Drosophila melanogaster: one gene and its partners. The protein of the gene in region 1 interacts with the protein of each later gene in a pairwise test. Each region holds a gene or a part of one and is shown in the gene's direction. Other genes may lie near its edges. The genes, in order: p130CAS, borr and CG11247.

The links.
Region 2: the proteins of p130CAS (region 1) and borr interact in a two-hybrid assay, tested with the Drosophila melanogaster proteins (one large-scale study listed by BioGRID).
Region 3: the proteins of p130CAS (region 1) and CG11247 interact in a two-hybrid assay, tested with the Drosophila melanogaster proteins (one large-scale study listed by BioGRID).

Annotation. Positions count from the first base shown.
Region 1 is NT_037436.4:150,698-156,695, forward strand, and holds the start of p130CAS (p130CAS), read left to right. Parts: upstream 1-2,186; 5' UTR 2,187-2,373; coding exon 2,374-2,607; intron 2,608-5,998. Other genes in the region: Dic61B (dynein intermediate chain at 61B), read right to left, coding at 1-1,093, 1,151-1,372, 1,426-1,575, 1,644-1,700.
Region 2 is NT_033779.5:9,250,225-9,255,246, reverse strand, and holds borr (borealin-related), read left to right. Parts: upstream 1-2,128; 5' UTR 2,129-2,260; coding exon 2,261-2,612; intron 2,613-2,896; coding exon 2,897-3,305; intron 3,306-3,370; coding exon 3,371-3,569; 3' UTR 3,570-3,775; downstream 3,776-5,022. Other genes in the region: lectin-30A, read left to right, coding at 416-1,087; aust (australin), read left to right, coding at 4,239-4,494, 4,561-4,955. UniProt on the Drosophila melanogaster protein: Component of the chromosomal passenger complex (CPC), a complex that acts as a key regulator of embryonic mitosis.
Region 3 is NT_037436.4:21,723,032-21,731,050, reverse strand, and holds CG11247 (uncharacterized protein), read left to right. Parts: upstream 1-2,244; 5' UTR 2,245-2,600; exon of another isoform or gene 2,601-2,658; 5' UTR 2,659-2,764; intron 2,765-4,113; 5' UTR 4,114-4,312; coding exon 4,313-4,888; intron 4,889-5,100; coding exon 5,101-5,496; intron 5,497-5,555; coding exon 5,556-6,152; 3' UTR 6,153-6,725; downstream 6,726-8,019. Other genes in the region: CG14569 (uncharacterized protein), read left to right, coding at 1-117; CG14570 (uncharacterized protein), read left to right, coding at 623-1,309; Polr2H (RNA polymerase II, I and III subunit H), read right to left, coding at 1,409-1,858.

The DNA of each region.
Region 1 (5,998 bases):
AGAGGCTCAGGAATGGATCGATGTCTGTTTCATGATCGTCGTCTGAAACTTGTTTGATCCAGCGGATGGCAACCACCGGCGAGGAGCCTGGCGAAGTGCTGCGCTGCGAGACCGCAACGGGTGTGTCCTGCAAACTGCTCACATCTCGCACTTCCACGCTGCCGTCGTACAGACCAATGGCGAGCAAGGATGGCAAGAATGGCGAGAAGTTTATTGCCGTTACTGGCACATCGTAGTAGTATGCGCGCTCCGGCTCGCCTGGATTTTTAATGCTCCACAGGAAAACGCTGCCGGAGGTCGGTACGTGCTGTGAGGAAAATGAGTACAGTCCGTAGGCTACAGCCAGGATGTCACCATTGCTGCGGCAGAAATCAATGTCGCTTACGGCCTTGCGCTCGTCTTTGCTGGGCTCCGGTACCAGCCGAAAGAGCAAGTTCATCGAGTAGACGTACTCGGCCTCCGCGTTCCAGCGTTCCACCTGGTCAAAGTTACGGAAGCGTCGTAACCCCGCCTCGTTTGTGTTGCTCGAGAGCGTGCGGCCCATGTACATGATGGCGTTGCGAAACTCGGGGCTCCGGAACAGGCGCTCTATCTGGCTGCTGACCTTGTCTTTTTCGGCAACGGCCTCGTCGTCCTCAAAGGTATCCGCATCCTCCGTCTGCGCTAGAGCCGAGGTCAGGTCCTTTACCGAACTCATAGTGGCTGTTGCGAACTCCTTGGTGATATTGTTCAGCGTGTCGTACATCTCAAAGTTGGAAACGTAAGAGCTGACGGTGGCCTTGGTTATGAGGATGGTGTTGACTGCCCGAGTGGTGAAGAGCAGAGTATCTGTCTGAGCGTCATTGTCTGAGCGCCGGCGAATTTTGCCTTTCCCTATTGTCAGATACTCGTAGTTTCGGTTGTCTCGCTCCGCATCGTCGCCCTCGGGCGATCCCTTGGCCACCGTCGTCTGCGTCTGGCTGTGAATTTCGAAGAAGTCAGACTTGCGTAAGGTGATCTTTAAAAAGGACTTGGTATACGGCTTTGGCTCGTACGCCTCTTCGAGAGCCTCAACAGTGCTGTACGGTTCCCAGTTAATAGTTTCATAAAGTATCTAGTGGAGAATGACGATTCCCGCTGGGATGATACAAAAAAGTTTATATAAACTTACCCCGTTCATCAGGTCGTCAATGGACTGCTTATTGCCGCCTATTCCGGCCCGAACACTAGACCGCGTGCGGGATCTGGTCGTGCTCTTCGCTACCATTGTAGTGAAGTTAGTCATTTGGTGCATGACATTTAGGTTGTACTTCATGAACTGCTCCACATAGGTGTCATCTTGGATCGACTTAGGTGTCATATCAACCTCCTCGCCATAGATCTTTTCCAAAACCTAAGGGGAGTTTGCAATTAGTGGTGGTGAGTTTGTAAGTCCTTTGGGTTCACCTTTATCTGAGATCGATACTGCAGGTCGGCAAGTGTTTCCACACTGTAATAGTGCGTAGTATCTTTCTTCTTAGCCTTAGACTCTTCGGCTTGTGTCTGATTAACCACCACGGACTTCTTTTTGAGTTCGTTGTCTAAGTTACTGGACCGCTTTTTGACGCGTGGGGAACGGTGTTCTATGTAAGAAGTGCAAATTAGATCTTCCAGTAATTACTTACTTTAAAGATACTCCCATTTTCTTGGCTAGTGACTGTATTTCTTACTGACGCGGACATGACTTGTATTTTGTTATGTACTCCTCTTGATTTCGTCCAAATTTTTAATGAGTATTTTGTTATTTTATTATTTTGAGGGCACTGGTTTCTGGTAATACATATGTTTTAACTGCTGATATAACTTTTTTTTACCAAACATTAGTTTCATAGTGTACTTATCTTTCTTTAAAGATTTAAAATGTAATCAAAAACTGAAATGCTTGGAAATCAATTTAAAAAATTAATATTGTGTAATATTAAATTTGAAGTTTAAAAACTCCGAATACCACGAATTTTTACCGTACGGTAACGAAAGGGCTTTGTGCTACTTAACAGGAGCACTCTCTTACTCTCCGTTTCCGTGAGCGTTTTTTACCGAGCTCCCCCTGCGCCTGCTCGTTAGATAATACCGAAATAAAGTTGTCAACCAAGCCACCCTCTGTGGGCGAAGGACGACCGGCTGCCTTTTGAGGTTGCATATGGTTGAGTTAGTTAGATTCGGAGTCGCCAGCCATGCAAACCTGGTTCACACTCGCGTCCGTAATCGTGCTTTTGTTTGGGATGTATTCCAATGTGTAGAGATTCGATTTCTCAATGTAGGTCTGCTTATTTTTTGGTACGCTCCTGATATGAAAAAAACTTGCGGCAGCATCAAAATCTAAAAGGCATCTAACCTAACAAGAGCTAACAATTAATGGAGTGTCAAAGTGAAAACCGAGTACCAGAAAACTCAATTAGTAATGTTGCAACGTACCATACTCTGCCCGAATCCCAAACCTCATCGGTTTTGGCCAAGCATCAGCAGCGACAGCTGAAAGAACCGCAACAGCCGCCGCAGTACGTTATAAATTCAGTGGCAATGCACGCCAAGACGACCACGGCGAACTCCATCACGGGCGGCACACTGCATCGGGCAAAAAGTGCGCAGGTACGTCCAGAATGTTATAAATTAAATGGATAGTATCCGAGGAAGTGGATCGAAGTAAAGCGATGTGATCGCGATGCTTATTGGAGGTAAACCTATTTGACAGGAATTGATATTGACTGCCAACTAGGTGCGCTTAATCGGTGGGGAAACTGGATTTATATATTTGTCCATGGATAATTCAAATCATTCATATTGTTTTTCGGTATCTCAAATCGTTCCGTTAAAAACTTTTGTGCTCTGTACAGGTGTAACAAACTCTTACTATTTTTTACATTTACTACATTTCGGCAAGTAAAATCTGTTACAGCCAAATTCATCGAACGACCCTCTTCCACACGCCATTGCCTGGTTCGACGCGAGTGCAAAAACGAATTTTACTCAGCGAAGCTACACAGATACATACAGATTATGGATACGCAGGGTGCGTAACGTAAACTAACGCTGTAATACTGTTTCTGCCGGCTAACCAAGCTGGGACGGCTAAGTGGCTAAATGGCTACAGGACCATCGGGCCTAAATGCAGCTTCATGGAGGCCGCATGCGTGCAGAGAGAATCGGGCGATGTGCCCATGTTATGTAAACATATTCGGCAGGAAGATAGGGCAGGGTGGACCTCGAGTCGTGACGAAGCAAAAGTCAGGGATCTGGCTAAGGCTGCTGGCTGACTGATTCCCGTGGAGAGTAAGGGTCGTCAGGTGGTGGTGGCTTCTGTGCGTCGCGTCATTCATCAGACGCTCCATGATGTGAAACAAATTCGCCTGGGGAGGCATTGGATGCTTAAGTGAGGTGCTAAAGTTAAGCTGCCAACTTCAATGATGTGGTACTTGACCAGCTACCGATTCAGAAATGTATCTTTTGATTTCGCTGTCAGTTCTACCCTTGTATATATGTATGTATGTATGCTTTCAATTTTATTTGCTCGCGAAAGTTGCTATACGATTTTTCAATGCCAATATGAGAACTGCTATCGACCTTGCCGGGGGTATGAACTTTCCGCAATTAAACCTCACCGGGGTGGTTGTTCTCTGTTCTTTTTCCCGCCACCGAACCACGCTTCGTTCTTTTCCTTAAGCAACATGTTTGGTTACTGAGAGCACTTTTTGCTGAATTTTTCCGAGTGCCGTGCTCCAAGAGCAAGTTGCTCGGAAACATCTGGAGGGTTTAATCAATCTTTGGTGTCCTGACGAGCCGCGAACAATGTTTTGTCAAGTACAAAGGAAGGGAAGATTCTTCTGATCTGATCTGTCATGATAATGGGATGCATTGAAAATGGCCCCAAAAAAAAACTGTTAAAGCAGAAGTTCGTAATTCTAAATCATTTTATGACGATATTGATATATATTAATATATATTTAAATTGCAAAAAGCCCCTAATCAACGTTTTGATGTCTTTTATCTGGCTACTGTGGCTGCCTGTACACAATTTAAAATTTTTGCTGGCACATTTTATTATTACAAATGGCACTTTGGAGAATTGTGTACCACGGATTTTGTAAGCGGCGCTCTAATGATTTATGAATTTATTCAATGACAATTGGCAAGTTGAGCCAAAGTGCTTTTAGCTGGTGAAGCGGACCGGTCATTGAGCCTCGGAACCACTTCATTCGTGGCTGGGAATTGAAATGCACAGAGGAAGAGTTTGAGTTCGCAGTAGTTCACAGTTAGTTCACTGGTGGCCGTCATAGGCGCCAACATATTTTGTTCTTGCATTTAAATTATGAGCTCTGCCATTATGCATCAATCGTTAATCCAGCGGCGGTTAAAAGCAGCACAAAAAGAAAAGACAGTATCTATAACCAACACAGAATAAACAACAATAAAGAAAGTGGAAAGCCGGGAAAAACGTGCGCTGAAAAGTGAAGAATTTAAGTGTACGTGTTGAAAATTCCTCAATTTGTTGTCTGAGAATGAGTATAATTATTTGTGTGTTTCCAGCGGTGGCTTTATTCACCGCGTTCTTTTCCCTGCTAAGACATATTCTTTGGTAACGTGACGGTAGCGAAACTATCTGTTATATGCACACAAAAATAACATTGTGCATCCTCAGTTTTAAGAACTACGTTTTCATGCGAAAATGGTTTTTGATTAAATAACTCCTTAAGTTTTATAGGACTTAAATTGGCAAGTCCAAGAAAAATCATGAAATCACACGCGGTTTCAAAAATCACTTAACCCTGTTGACGTAAATATTTTTCCAGTCCCAGCACTGGATATATCTTCTTTTGCAACATTCGTGCTGCACATGGCAAATATGTATATGATTATTGGTGTCTCGAAGAGATATATCCACTCATTCTAGTCGCCCGGTTTCCCACTCCTCTGAACTTAAAATAATTTATGCAGTTTGGGGACAGCTTTTCCTGGGCAGACTAAAGCGTTGCGGCATTCAATAAATTGCTCTTAAATTATGGAAATGCAGAGCAGCCGAGATTTATTGAGAAGTTTCTAGAGGTGGGGAAAATGTGTATTTTTGGATAGGCTGTATATACGTATTGAGTAAATTCCGATAAACTTAATGTGTATGTCTTAAACCGAAAGCATCGTCATTTTGAGATTATCATCGATCTATGAATACTATGAATTTTTCACATCCCAAATTCTGCCTTTATTGCTGACCCATTAATCCAAATATATCAGATGGCGTCGTTTATATCTCATTGCAGATCAATTGGGCTATTTGGTCGGAATCTTTTTGGTTTCGGGGTCGCCCACGTTTGGCCCCGTATTTCAATTTGACGTTTCTTCAGGTTTGGTAACTGCATTGTCTTAGATCACGCTTTGACCTTATAAACTGGAGGAGCAGGGGTCGCTGGAGAGAGATGATGGACAAAGAGAACACACCAAATATGTTAGATTCATAAATTTTCCAAAAACCTAAACACAATGTTTTGAATTAAGCAACGCTGGGAAGTAGACTGCGGAAATAATTCGTAAATTTATCAGACTAATTTGGTCTCGACATATTGAACTTAGCAGCTCGGGCGCTAAGACTTTTCGAGTGTTCTGGTGAAGTGGGGTAAACCGTTCTCAAATCATTTTCATTCAATTATGCTCAAAAACTTGATTAGCCTTCAAAGCTAAGGAATTAAATTTTAATCTTTTGTGCAACAATTCTATAACATAGGTCAAATGTATGATAAATTCTTTTAGAATGCATCAGTGAGATATCTGAGAACTTCCATATTTGATTCTCTTCTCATCTGATGACCTATGTGCACATGTGTATTTTCGTAAATATATAGTTAATAAATGCCCTAACAACATTTATTGATATATTCTTCGAAAAAATCGCAACACCAACAATCGCAACGCAACTATCGTTGTCAGGCAACGAATGGGGAGTTGAGTACAAGTATCCAGTGTTGAGGTAACCGAAATAAAATTTAATCTT
Region 2 (5,022 bases), on another chromosome or scaffold:
GATATATCCCTTTTCCCCACAGCCATCGATTGGTAATGACGTTTGGTAGAGCCCACCCACCTTTAGGTTCATCCACTTTGTGGCTTAAGGCAAGAACGAGCATCAAGCCAATTAAAACTTCTAGCCCATCAACTTAATTAAGAAAAGGCCGAAATTATGCGACTATCATAAAAGTGCGGTGAACGTACGGTATCAAGAAAGATTTTCCTAATTGGTAAGCCATAAATTGTATTAATAAATTTTATTAGTTATACACCTGCTTAGAACGAATAACCTATGTATTTGCCAGACGTTGTAAACCGTTTTCAACGCTTTAATATGCTTTTAGATGCGGATTGTTATTTCATTATACAGATGTTAACATCCAGAAACAGTCCGTTTTAAGGATTGGGACTAGCAGGTCATACATAGTAACATGTTCAAGTATTGTTTTATATGCGTCATTCTAGCCTGGGCTTCTCGTGATGTTCTCGCTAACAAAACGGAAAATCCGCTGCTAATTGATCAAGTGGCTATAAATCAACAACAATGGTTCACATTCATTGCGCTGAAGGAAAGTGAAATGCAACAGAAAATAGTGAGGATCGAAAGATCGATAGAAGAACGATTGATGGCCATGCAAAGCAAGTTGGCATACGCACTGAACGAGCTGCAGACCATAATGGGCAACCAGAGTGTGGAGACTCTCGAGAAACTACGAATCTCGCACAGGATTAATCCGGCGCTTTTCCAGAGAATGGGCACAAGACGCTTCTACATTGAGAAGGAAAACAAACAAAATTGGTTTGGCGCCTCAAACACCTGTCGTCAATTGGGCGGTCACATTGCCACCATCAGGGATGAGCAGGAGTTTAATGAGATCTTCTCAAGAGCGCCGGCCGGCGTCTTTTGGATAGATATGAATGCTATGTTCAAGAACGGCCTTTTTGCATCATCACTCACCGGCAGATCGCCGCCGTTCTTTAAGTGGAAGAAAGAAGAAAGGGGCAATAAGTTCGATTGCGTTAATGTATACAACAAGGAAATGTACAATGAAAATTGTTTCAACACCCATTTGTTCATATGTCAAGCCGAGCAGTGGGATTGATGCGAATGCGAAAATAATAAATTAAGTTATTTTCATTTTGCATCTCGGCAATTTACCGACAGCTTTTAATAAAGTTATGAGCCTACTGTCTTTTTTATTTTACTAGCCCAAAAATGAAGTACATAACTGTTTTCTCAGCCAAGAGGATCATTAAGATTATTGGGTAATGAAAATTAAAATATTTTCCCTTAAGTACAAAACCAGGCCAATCCATATGGGGTTTCCATCAAGTGCCCAGAAAGCGGTGCTTGGTATTTCAAAATGCCTTACACACATGACGTGTCCACGTTCTGTGCAGAAATAAGGGCGGCCAGTGCCACGCCCCTCCACAAGGAAGCCACCCAAATGGTGACAAAAATGCTTTTGATTTGTGGGCCATTCGCACACCCATAGCCACCCACGCTTATTAGAATCCTGCCATTGTGGCAGCCAAAGTGCAACTAGCAGAGACAGATAGCAAACATCCAACAATGTGGAGCAGAGCGCAATTTATGACCAGGGGCGAGATTTCGAAACGGACTAATAGGATTGCGGCTCCAATTTTTGGGGCTTTTCATTTCAGATACCTCCGCACATACGATGCAAAATTATATCTCGAGTTTTCACTTACGTTATTATACGCTCTAGTGTGCAAGTCTTTAGTTTTTCCAATTATTACTATTCAATAATACTAATATACCAATATTGTATTTTGTTATAATAATAAGATGCTATTACCGTTACATTATTAACAAATGGGTAGTTGGAATTCCCCTTTCAAAAATAAAGATATAAAAAAAATCGATCTCTATGTTGTAGGGAACTAGTTCATTGAGATTAGTTGCAGAACTCATTGGAATTATTCAAAACTCATTATTCAAAATATAGATAAATAAATATAGAAGATATATACTTAAATGTGTTATTTTGGAGTGACTTCAGTTAAGTTCGAATTATTTAATTGAATTTACCGCGCATTAGTGTTACCATTTTACACTTACACCATCAAAATATTTCTAGTATTTTCAATCGGTCGTGAACTGGGCAATGAAAAGCCATCTGGCAACACTGTTCCATGACGCTTGAATTTTAGCGGACAAACTCGAAAAGAAATAGCAAAAAGACGACGCTTGCTACGAAAATAGTTATTCCTCGCAAAAACCCTGTAACGTGTAAACAAAGGCCGCTGCCACGATGCCGCGCACCAAGATACCAAAGAACTCCAAACGCAACCGCGAGGTGGCCAATCGCGAAGAGAAGGTGCGCCTGTACGAGCTGAAAATGGATTCCCGCCTTATCAGCATCGATTCGCTGGAGACCAAGTTCCTCTCCGCCGTGGACCACCAGGTGAAGACACTGCTCGGCCAGGTGCAGAAGGAGCTGGCCAATCTGAAGATGCCCGAAGTGCTGCGCCTCTTCGAGGAACTGGACCGCTTCAGCGACTTCAAGGCCAGCGATCAGACGCAGCTGCTCGCCTCGATGTCCATGAGTGGCAGCGCCATCGAGGGCCACGCCCCCTCCGCCACTGGAAGTCGCAATGACGAAGGTTTGTTGGCCTATATATGTATGCTGTTATACCAATCTGCTGGCAAGGATGTCATCACCCGAATTACAAATGAATACCGGTTTTACATGCCAAATTGGCAAATTCCATTGTATATTCGGTATTCATCATACCCTCTTGTTGCCATTTTCACTTTTAATTTTAATCTAACTGGTGTCCGGCTTTGTGACTAACTCAACTTTGCTTTCTAACTCCGCACCGCACATTTCAATGCACGCAAAATGCATATACCCACATCCACATCCTGTGCCGGTCACTGTATCTAGGCTACCTTACAGAGGACAGCAGCATCGGTGCCAGCGGTGGGAGCATCCTGGCCGCCCACACAGGCTCCCTGCTGCGGTCCACGAAGGCCATGCGCACACCCGGACCACTGCACTCGGCGAGGGCTCGTCGAGCGCGGCGCAGTCGTTCCGCCTGCGGGGATCTCAACATATTGCACTCGGCCAAACCGCCGTCAATTTCGAGCAGCAGCAGCAGCAGCCGCAATTCGCGCAGCAAACTGCGCACACCGATGGCCTCGCGTGCGAAGGCCTTCAGTGCCGACCGCACTCCTTTGAAACAGAAGCAAATGCGCTCCGGATCGCCAACTACACCGCCGATGGCATTCCTGCGCTATCCCAAGCCCGGCGAGGTGGCACTATCCAAATACGGCAGTCCCATGGTGGCTCAAGTGTAAGTATTGATCACATACTACGTGTCGATACCAATTTGTTAAAACCATTTTTCCCACACGATAGAATGCCAGACAAGTTCGCCAATGTGAACATACCCATTCGGAACGGAGTTCTTAGCTTGCGGCCCAAAAAACTGGATGCCGACGAGGTGGAGTCAAATCTGTTGGAGAACCTGGACGAGGACACCCTTAACCAGATCAAAACGCTGCACGAGAACTTGCAGATGATTGTTAATAAGGCCAGCCAGGCGGTGTTCAAGTAGCTGTCATTTCAAACGCTTATCTAGATATAATGCTATATCATATATTTTAATACGTTTCGTTTAAGTTCAGTTTTCATTTTACTCATTTAGTTCAAGTATTTTGTCTTTATTCATAAAAATCTATCGTATTTGCATAAGTTTCAATACATGTTCATATCCAAGTGTACGGCGATTTAAATGTAATGTTTTAAATACATGCTTAATCCAAAAAAAAAAAAATGAAGCGTTCCATGATGATTACTCGCCTTCAAGCAAAACGACGGAGAATCGAAAGAGATGAGAAAGTGAGAATCCAATTTAATTCTGCAATGGATAAAGTCGATGAGATGGCCAAGTTGTTCAAGCAGGATGTGGACAACAAATTGGGTTTGCTTCAAGCCAGGACTGATGCTCGTTTGCTGCAGATGAAATGGTCGGATTTCATGGCTCTAGCAAAAACTGCTACCTTCAAATAACATCTTTCTTTTGCTAATTGCAAAAGAGGCAACCGCTTTTAAGTTCCCAGATTTCAGAAAGTGGCCAATAAAATTATGTTATGTTAAAAATGTTTAAAATGTATTTTCGCACGTTGATATGAATACAGTTTTGAATCGCTTGTTCACCAAAGAGCCCTTTGACTTTGTTAGAATTAGGCGATTAGTTGACTGGAATATATAAATCGTTAGAAATATGCCTCGCACCAAGATTACAGCTCGTCGTCAGGCCCAGCGCCAGAAGGCTGATCGCGAAGAGAAAGTGCGCCTGTCCCAAATCAAAATGGATTCGGCTCTGGAGAAGATCGATGAGATGAGCAAGCGCTACAAGCAAGAGGTGGACAACCAAATTAAGGTGATCCGTGGTAGGACTGATAAGCAGCTACTGCAAATGAAGATGCCAGAATTCTTGGCTCTCGGGTTTAAGACTTTTGCCGAATTTCAGAGGGCAGGTGAGATTTAATTTAACTGTCGGCAATAGAAGAGTAATTGTTATTTTTGTTTTACTTTCTTTCCAGCTATTAAGCCGCCCACAACTCGCAGTTTGTCCATCAGTCGTGGTCGAACACGAACTCCGCAGAATGCCCTGCCACCGAGGCTTCAGGCGCATTCGGTGGACAGGGCTCTGAGTGGCGACACCATGAGCTTTGTGCGATGGCCCCGCGCCGGAGAGATGGTGCTCTCGAAGGCGGGAAGCCCGCTGGCCGTCCAGATGCGTCCGGATCGCTATGCGGACGTCCACATTCCCACCAGGGGCGGCGTGATCACCGTGAAACCGCACAAGATCAACACCGTGAAGCGGGAAGTACTGATGCAGCTGGATGAGAACACACTCAACCAGGTGAAGACACTGAATGCCAATCTCGGATTAATTGTGGACATGGCCAACAAACTGGGCAAATTGAAACCGTAATTGCTAGCTATCATAGGAAACTTTAAGAACGCGTCTATTACGCTTATTTCGTTAATATTTTATTTAG
Region 3 (8,019 bases), about 22 Mb from region 1:
AGCAGTCTTGACCAGCCACAGTCCGTCCAGTCCGCCCGACTCTACCAGCGATTTCCGCAAGGACGGCGTTCCCAGAGGCCCGTTCCTCAGCGTCTAATCCTGCGTCGCAGTTGGTAGACTTTAAAACTTTAGCGTAAGCAAATACGTCACTGCGTCAGACTTAAGGAAATATCATACAGGCAAAGACTCTAGAATAATTATTCTAGTGTCTTTGATACAGGGCTGGAATCTATTCTAACGATATCATGCACTCACCGTACACAGAAAATATATTTACAAAATATTACTTACAAAATTCAATTTAAAATGAAATCCATACTGAAACTAATAGGAAAGCGTTATATTTATTATTTTTTTTATTCCTGTGTAAAAATAATATACAATTATTTTGTATAAGCACTCCCTTTTAAAGAAATCTAACCACACATTTTCATAACAGCCAGTACTTACACGCGCCTTAGTCACCACCTCCATGGGCACGTATCGTTGGACCTGGCTTATAAGTCATCGGCCTCGAGGTTTCTTCGGGCGTTTGAATTGGGCAGTTCCCAAGGGCATTCCTAGGGGGTATTTATAGGCGCCACTTAGCCGCCCATGCAGCAGTTCATGTCAGCACACCACAATGTCCGGTTATCCAAGTGCTTCTCTGGTCACCTTTGCGCTTTGTTCCATTCTTTGCCTGAATGGAATTGAAGGCAGTCATCTGAGGTTCCCAGGACCCGCGGCGGGAAGGTTTCTGCAAAGACAGGAACAAGCCCCATATCCACCAGCAGGCCTGGTCCCCGATCCGCCATTCGACCTGCCAACGGAGGAGGCGGTTGAATTTCCTCAACCGGAGGATACATATGGCCCTCCACCTGAAACATACGGACCACCGTCTTTGGTGGAAGCGCCAGCTGAGGTCTACGGCCCACCGGACCAAATTTATGGACCTCCCGATCAGACCTACGGACCTCCAGACCAGCCAGCCAATGATGACAGCTCCAACACATTGCCACAAAGCGCAGCTATAATTAATTTGGCAAGTCTGCCGCTACCACCCCAGGCTCAGTATGTTCTGCCGCTTCTGAACCGACTTTCTGCCTTCCGCCCGCAGCGTCCGGTTCTGCGGACTCCGCAGCGACGGCCGGCTAAGCTTACGGTTCGTCGTCGGCCAGATGCGGTCAAGATTGTGAATGCTATTAGGCCTACTCCAGTGTTCCCATCGACTCCGCAGGCTTTGCCCTTCGTGGATCGCCACATTCCTTTTCGCCCACGGCCATCTCGCCTGATAGTCAATGCGCCTTTCAGACGCCCATCCAGGCAATAGACTACTTCTTTCAGCACTCCAAGCAATGTCATGAATACACTGTAAATAAAGTTTGTTGTCTATGTCTAATTTGCGATCGAAAATAATTAGGTAGAAAATTCAGAAGGCCAGCCGCTTCATCAGCAGGTACATGTGCTGGTCCACCTCGAAGCCATGAAGATTGTTGGCGTCACCCTGAAGTCGCATCAGCAAGCCGCCGAATGACACGTAGGCGGAGAGCCGGGAGGCCTCATTGTGTGCTTCGTCGCCCTCGATCCTGTAGATCTTGCCGTACATCACGTACTCAAAGCTGTCCGCCCGCGTTCCCTCGTGCTCCATTGGATTGTACTCCCCGCTGTCCGGGCAACCATCCTCGCGCAGGGTGGTGGCCAAAACCAGGCGGAACTTGTCGCCCAGCTCCATGGGGTATAGCCACGAGTTGATGTCCAGGATGAGGTCCATCTTAAACGACTCGGACTCGCAGTGCAGGCGGGATACACGGTCGAACTTTTTGCCCTCCGGATCCATGTCCTTTACGTTGAAGATGTCCTCAAAGAGTACTCCAGCCATTTTAACTGAAATGTAGTATTTGATGAGTTATTGCTTTGAAGTCAGTTTAGTGGAGCTCCAAAAACGCACGCCTTACCTTGAGTCGGCTAATTAGATTTTATACGTATTTGATCTTATATGCGGAGGTAAATGCGTGTTCTTTTATGAACTGGGTTTATATCAGCAGAATTTTATTATATTTAAACTGTTAGCGACTAATATTTATTTCTTAAATATTTTGCATGCGCGTGTTAAGTATGAGAGATGCCAGATCTTTCTGGCGGCTTGAGTGTTGCCACACGTCTGCGATTTCAGTGAGCAAAGTGGTCACGTTCAGCAGGCTGTGATTTCAGTGTGTAAAAGAAGTCACGTTCAACAAAGTGTGCCTCACTTTGTTCTTACTGAAATTTCAATAAATATTGCAGTGATACTGCGCAATGTGATTTTTAACTTATTTATAACTTATTGCGCCGCAACCTACACGTTATTGGATTTTCTCTAACTAGTGACTGTGCATCACGCTCCCATCTGTGGCCGCGCAGACAGAGAGTCCCAGTGTGACCGTCTATCGGTGAATACACATCACTAACATTAAGAACAACATCGAAAAACCACCGAAAACTGTTATTTATTTTGCTGGACAAAACGCAGTATTGGCTTAGAATCGGCAAACCCGCAAAGTCCCACAAAGGTTAAGCCGCAGGCAGCACGATGGATACACCTTGAGGAGCCAGTCGGACTGCCACCTAGCGGATTGCAAAAAGTATGTACACACAGCTCGTGGTGTCGAAATTAAAAACAAATAAGAAGCGAACTCATAGTCGGACGCGGAATGCATAGGAAGTCCAGGTGTGTCCCATTCGGGGTGATGCTAAGTTTCCTGTGGATCGAAGGCCCTTAGCCTAGCGACTCCTGCTTTTTGCGAAGGTAAGTCCACGCCCGGTGGGGCTTTGGTGTTGGTGTTGAATGTGGAGCCCCTGGGCCAAATGTGTAGCATATGTGTATAATGGATTGCTTTACGTATATGAGTGCTGTGGTGCTGGTTCATTAATTACTAACAATCGGTTGCAAGACCCCGAAAACTACACAGTCGTCGAGTTTTGTGCCCCGAATACGAAAGACTTCAACGGCCCCTACCCTCATCCAGCGACCGCCGCCGCCTTAACCCTTACCCACCCCCATAACCCCGCCTATTTAGCATTACAAAACTGCTGTTATGTATTCACTTCTTTATTTTCGCTTTTTGTGTGTGATTTTCGCTGTCGTTCGTGCTTTTTGCCCTGTTCTCTTTCAATTTCGATTCCCAGCTGCGGATTCTAGCTTAAATTCGCTTTTTCAACAGTTTGGTCGAGGGCCGTTGTGCTGCTAAAGTGAGTTAGTTTTCAGCTTCTGCGGGTGCGGCTCTAATGAACCATTAACCCTCCGCAGGGGGAGGGGGTTGCTTGGCACTGGAATCGGAATCGGAGGGTTCCCAATCTGCTTGCCAGATGTTCGTCCCAGCCCAGGGTCATCGTAATCGCTCTCTTGCAGTTGCATTTTCAGTGTTCTCGCTTTTCATTGGAAACTCCGCCGCCTCGGAGAACAGACGCCGCGGGATCGAAAACGCTCAGGTTGCACAGCTTTATCTCGATATCTTTTTATAGCTCTACCGTGATTTTAGTGAAAGCGGTGGATTGCTTATCAGTTGTTGCCTTCCTCGGGATCTTATCAGGCGGTTTCTCCATCTCGCTCCCGCCCAAACAAAAGATTAAGACAACAAACTAAGAATTTTTTTTGGAAGCTTACGTTCGCTGGAAATGTCAATTGATAATGCGACCCACTTCAAGACTTGGGCTCCTAGCTCTGTACACCGTGAAAAACAGTCCACAACCTTCCGTTGTTAACTAGATTTGTAAAGAAACGAATATATTTTCTAATTGGATAGCCAATGAATTGCAATTAATTAATTAATTATGATAAACAACGTCTAAAAATCTCAAGTGATTTCGACAACACTGCAAAAATAGTAAGAACTATTGCATTAACGTAAAAAGTGCCATGCTTTTCGAAGCCCCTAAATATGCAAATCCACCAATTTTGGTAATATTTTTCCTGTGCATAGGTCTTATCACTGTTGACACAGCTGGAGTTTCTGTTCCGTTGCTGTTTCTCTTCTTGTTTCTGTTTCGGCTTCACTTGCGGTTACTATTTCTGTCTGTGTTTTTGATTCTCCGTCTGCTTCGGAACGTGGCGCTCGGCGAGTGGAGAATTAAAACAGCTCTTAACTTTTTTTGCAGCCCATCTGAACTAATCCAAACCAAAGGTGAATGGGAACTATCCTAGAAGTAGCAATCGAACCAAAAAATACGAATACCCTAAATTACATACGTAGAACATTAACCCTAGAAGTAAAGACAAACGCAGCAGGTGCCGGTGTTTCCCAGGAAGCGGTCCCCAGAAATTTAGTTACGAATCCAAATAATAAAAACCAAACAAATGGTACGCAGCCGTCGTAGTGTGTCCAAGGAGGATGCCGTCTCTCTGCTCACAGACAGCGGCATATCGCTGTCTTCGCCGCCGGCGGCGAGGGAATCCTCACCAGGCCCTACGCTTGCGATCAAAAGGAGGAAGAGCAGCTTGGCAAGTCTGCGCGATGCTTGTGTGGACGAGGAGGAGGACGACGGCGGAGAGCAGGACTCAAAGGATGATGATTACGTGCAACCGCAGCTTAAGAAGTCTGCCCGAAAGGGCGAACCGGTGAAACGCAAGCACCATGTCTGCAGTCAATGCTCCAAAGAGTTCGGTGGCAAGACGGATCTGCAGCGCCACATGCTTATCCACTCGGACGAACGACCGCACAAGTGCAAGGATTGTGGCAAGAGCTACCGCCAGGCGGTCAACCTGAAAAATCATATCACCACCGCCCACGAGCATCGGAAACAGTTCGTTTGTTCCCAGTGCCCAAAATCATTCGCCCTCAAGGAGCGCCTGCGGCTCCACATGCGCCTCCACTCTGGCGAGAAGCCCTATCCTTGCGACCTCTGCGACAAAAAATTCGCCCGAGGAGGTCAAGTGAGTAATACGACATTCCATTTTTAACTGAGATTTAACAATTAATTTTATATTTTTCTCATAATTTGATTTATTATAAACTTAAATAATAATATTTATTATAATAATTAAATATAAATAAGTGTATTTAATAATGAACTTTCTATTAGGCTTTTGTTTTTATAGGTCTTAACCATTGGTGTTCCTAATATATATTATCATTTATATTGCAGCTGCAACAGCACATGGTTTCTCACCACAAGACGAGTATCCAGCAGTTCAACTGCACTAAGTGCTCGGCCAGCTTCTCAACCAACGCCAATTTACGGGTGCACATGGAGCGACACGAGCAGGGCATGGAGCACCGGTGCAGCATCTGTGAGAACCAATTCGCCAACGAGCTGGCCCTGCGAGCGCACATAAACCAGGAGCACCACAAGCTGACGCAATTTGAGTGCGAGATATGCCATAAGATGATCGAGCCGGACGAGGATTTGGCCACTCACATGCAGAGGCACACCGCTGTTAAGACCCACGTCTGCGAGGTGTGCAACACATATTTCACCCAGAAAAGCCAGTACAATGTCCATATGCGAATGCACACGGGAGAGCGCCCCTATCAGTGTAGGGTAAGTTGAAAGGGTGTTAGCTTGCATGCAGCCGTAAATTATGTTTCTACTTCCATCAGATCTGCCACCAGACCTTTGCCCATTCAAGCGTACTAAAACTGCACATCCGAAAGCATACGGGGGAAAAACCCTTTCGCTGCCAGCTGTGCGAAGACGAAGTAGCCTTTTCTCAGCTGGCGCACCTAAAGAACCACATGAAGAAGATACACAAACAGCAAAAGCCCTACATGTGCGAAGGCTGCCACGATTTCTTTAAGATCAAGGTGGAGCTGCAGTCGCATGTTGAGCACTGCGCCAAGTGTCCAGTTGACGGGGACAAACCCAGTGGCAATCAGTCTGAAGATGCGCAAATTCTCTCTGTCTTAAGATTTAACATGGCAGTGGTACTGAAGAAAATTAGCTCCGCTCAAAAGCTGCGCCAGTTGGGCTACGAGAAGCGTCTAATCGATAACGTTATCATTGCATCCTTGAAGCTGGCTCAGCGACAATCCCATGACGACGCCACGATGACCCCATTGGCCAGACTCCGGCTAAATGTGGAGGAATTTCTTAAGTGGATTGTGCCAGCCCCCACTATGCAGAAATTCAGCGACGAATTGTTGTCTATAGACACGATTCTTGAGAAAATTGCTACCATGTATATGAAACAGAAGTAGAATCCAGGAGTTGATAGCCAACGCCAAATGCGAGTGTGCCATAGAAGAAGGATTTGTAGAACTAGTTCTTGCCATTTAGTTTAGTGTTTAGTAACCCAAAGTTGCAGAACGAAACCCAACCAAATAATTTATCCCAAAGATATATACTTTGTAGTACAGGTCATTTTAATGAATTACTACCCTTAATCCCAATTTTGCTGCTACCAAAAAGTATAATTTGAAGAATGTATGAGTTAGTGTTGTCATAATAATTTCCCTATTAAAGGAAATTAGTTTAAGAACGAATTTCGATGCAATAATTTATAAAATAATAGGCATAACACGATTGAAACCTGAAATATTTTTGTATGCTTAGTCTTGCCAGAGCAACAGATTGTCCCGGAGTGAATCTATAACAGCTCAAGTACAATACAACTCATTGTGGCCATGCTTGTAAAATTAATAAGCTTAATGCATTTAGTTGCCATTTGTCTTTTCCAACAAAAGTGCAAAATCTGAAGTGTACAACTGAAATGCAAATCAAAATACGCAAGTGAAAAAATGAAATGAATAATAAATATTATTTGTGACTACAACCCAACACTGGATATTAGTTTTTCGGACTTTTTAATCATGAAACAATTTGCAGCAAGTATTATTTTCGCTTATTTTTAAGATTTCGTAAGTCTGCGAGCTTACGTAAGAGTTAGAGAAAGTTTATGAGAACGAATGATAAAAAGAACACATTCCCTTAACTAAGAGTGAGCACGTCCACTATCCCACAAAGCTGCTCCCACACTTTTGAATATATTAATATTAATTTAATAATTTTGGTTTTTATTATTATTATTGAAAGTTTCTATGTTTATTCCAAAAGGATTTTGGCCGTCTACAACAAATGGCAAAGGCCTTACATATTATTTCAGTCAACTTTCGATCTTGCTGTAGCTGGTGTCTGGAAGTTGAGGATCTCGACTAGCATCTTAGGAAGCGACACGGCTTGAATCAATCAATTTTCTGCATCTCCTGGCTTGCGTGCCTTTGACCTTTGAGGCTCATCTATGGAATTTCAAGTCCGGCTGGAAGCTGCATTCCATATTTGAATGCGGCCAAAAGAGCAACGAGTCGCACAGAAACACCCAGGCACACCCAACCGGGCTGGCATCTAACCACATAAACAGTTAGGTACAAGTGCCCCATGGGTCCCTGCCCGTTGGCCATAAATGGTCTGGGCTTGTGCACAAATTTATAAGCCACTTACATTAAGGTGGCCAATATTTTTTATGGCAAGCCCCGCACTGCATGCGAACCGAGCTCTCTGAGCAGCGGTGGCATCTGCAGGCGCTGTGGCACCTGCCCGCGCCACTTCCTCCGGTCCGCCACCTTCCACCCACCCGGAGCAATTAATGAAATTTGCACGGCGAATTTATTGACGCGACCGTTAGTGTCAACCCAAAGGATTTGCTTGGCCACGAGATGTATGTACAATTTTATGTGTCAAATATAGTTATGATTTTATGATACCCCGCTTGGGTAGCAGGCTGGGATTTTCCTCCGGCCATACCATTGCGTGTCTGTCACCTGAAGCTGCTGATGTAATCTCCGCCGGTATGCCATCCCATCTCACCCCATGCCGTTCCCGCTCCCGATCTCGATTTCTTGTCCCGGGAAGCAGCTTAATGTCTACATTTGTTCTGGCCGTTGCGTGTTCAGTGGTTGCCCTTTTTGCAATCTCAGCTAACTCGGTTACTCCTGCTCCCACCAACCAGCAACCACCGCCCACCGCCCACTGCCACTTCTATGTCCTCCTGCTTCTCCACGACCGTGGCAACTGCAAGTCAGGCACTCCAGCTCCTTCAGCTTCTTCCACAGATTTAGTCTCGCCATT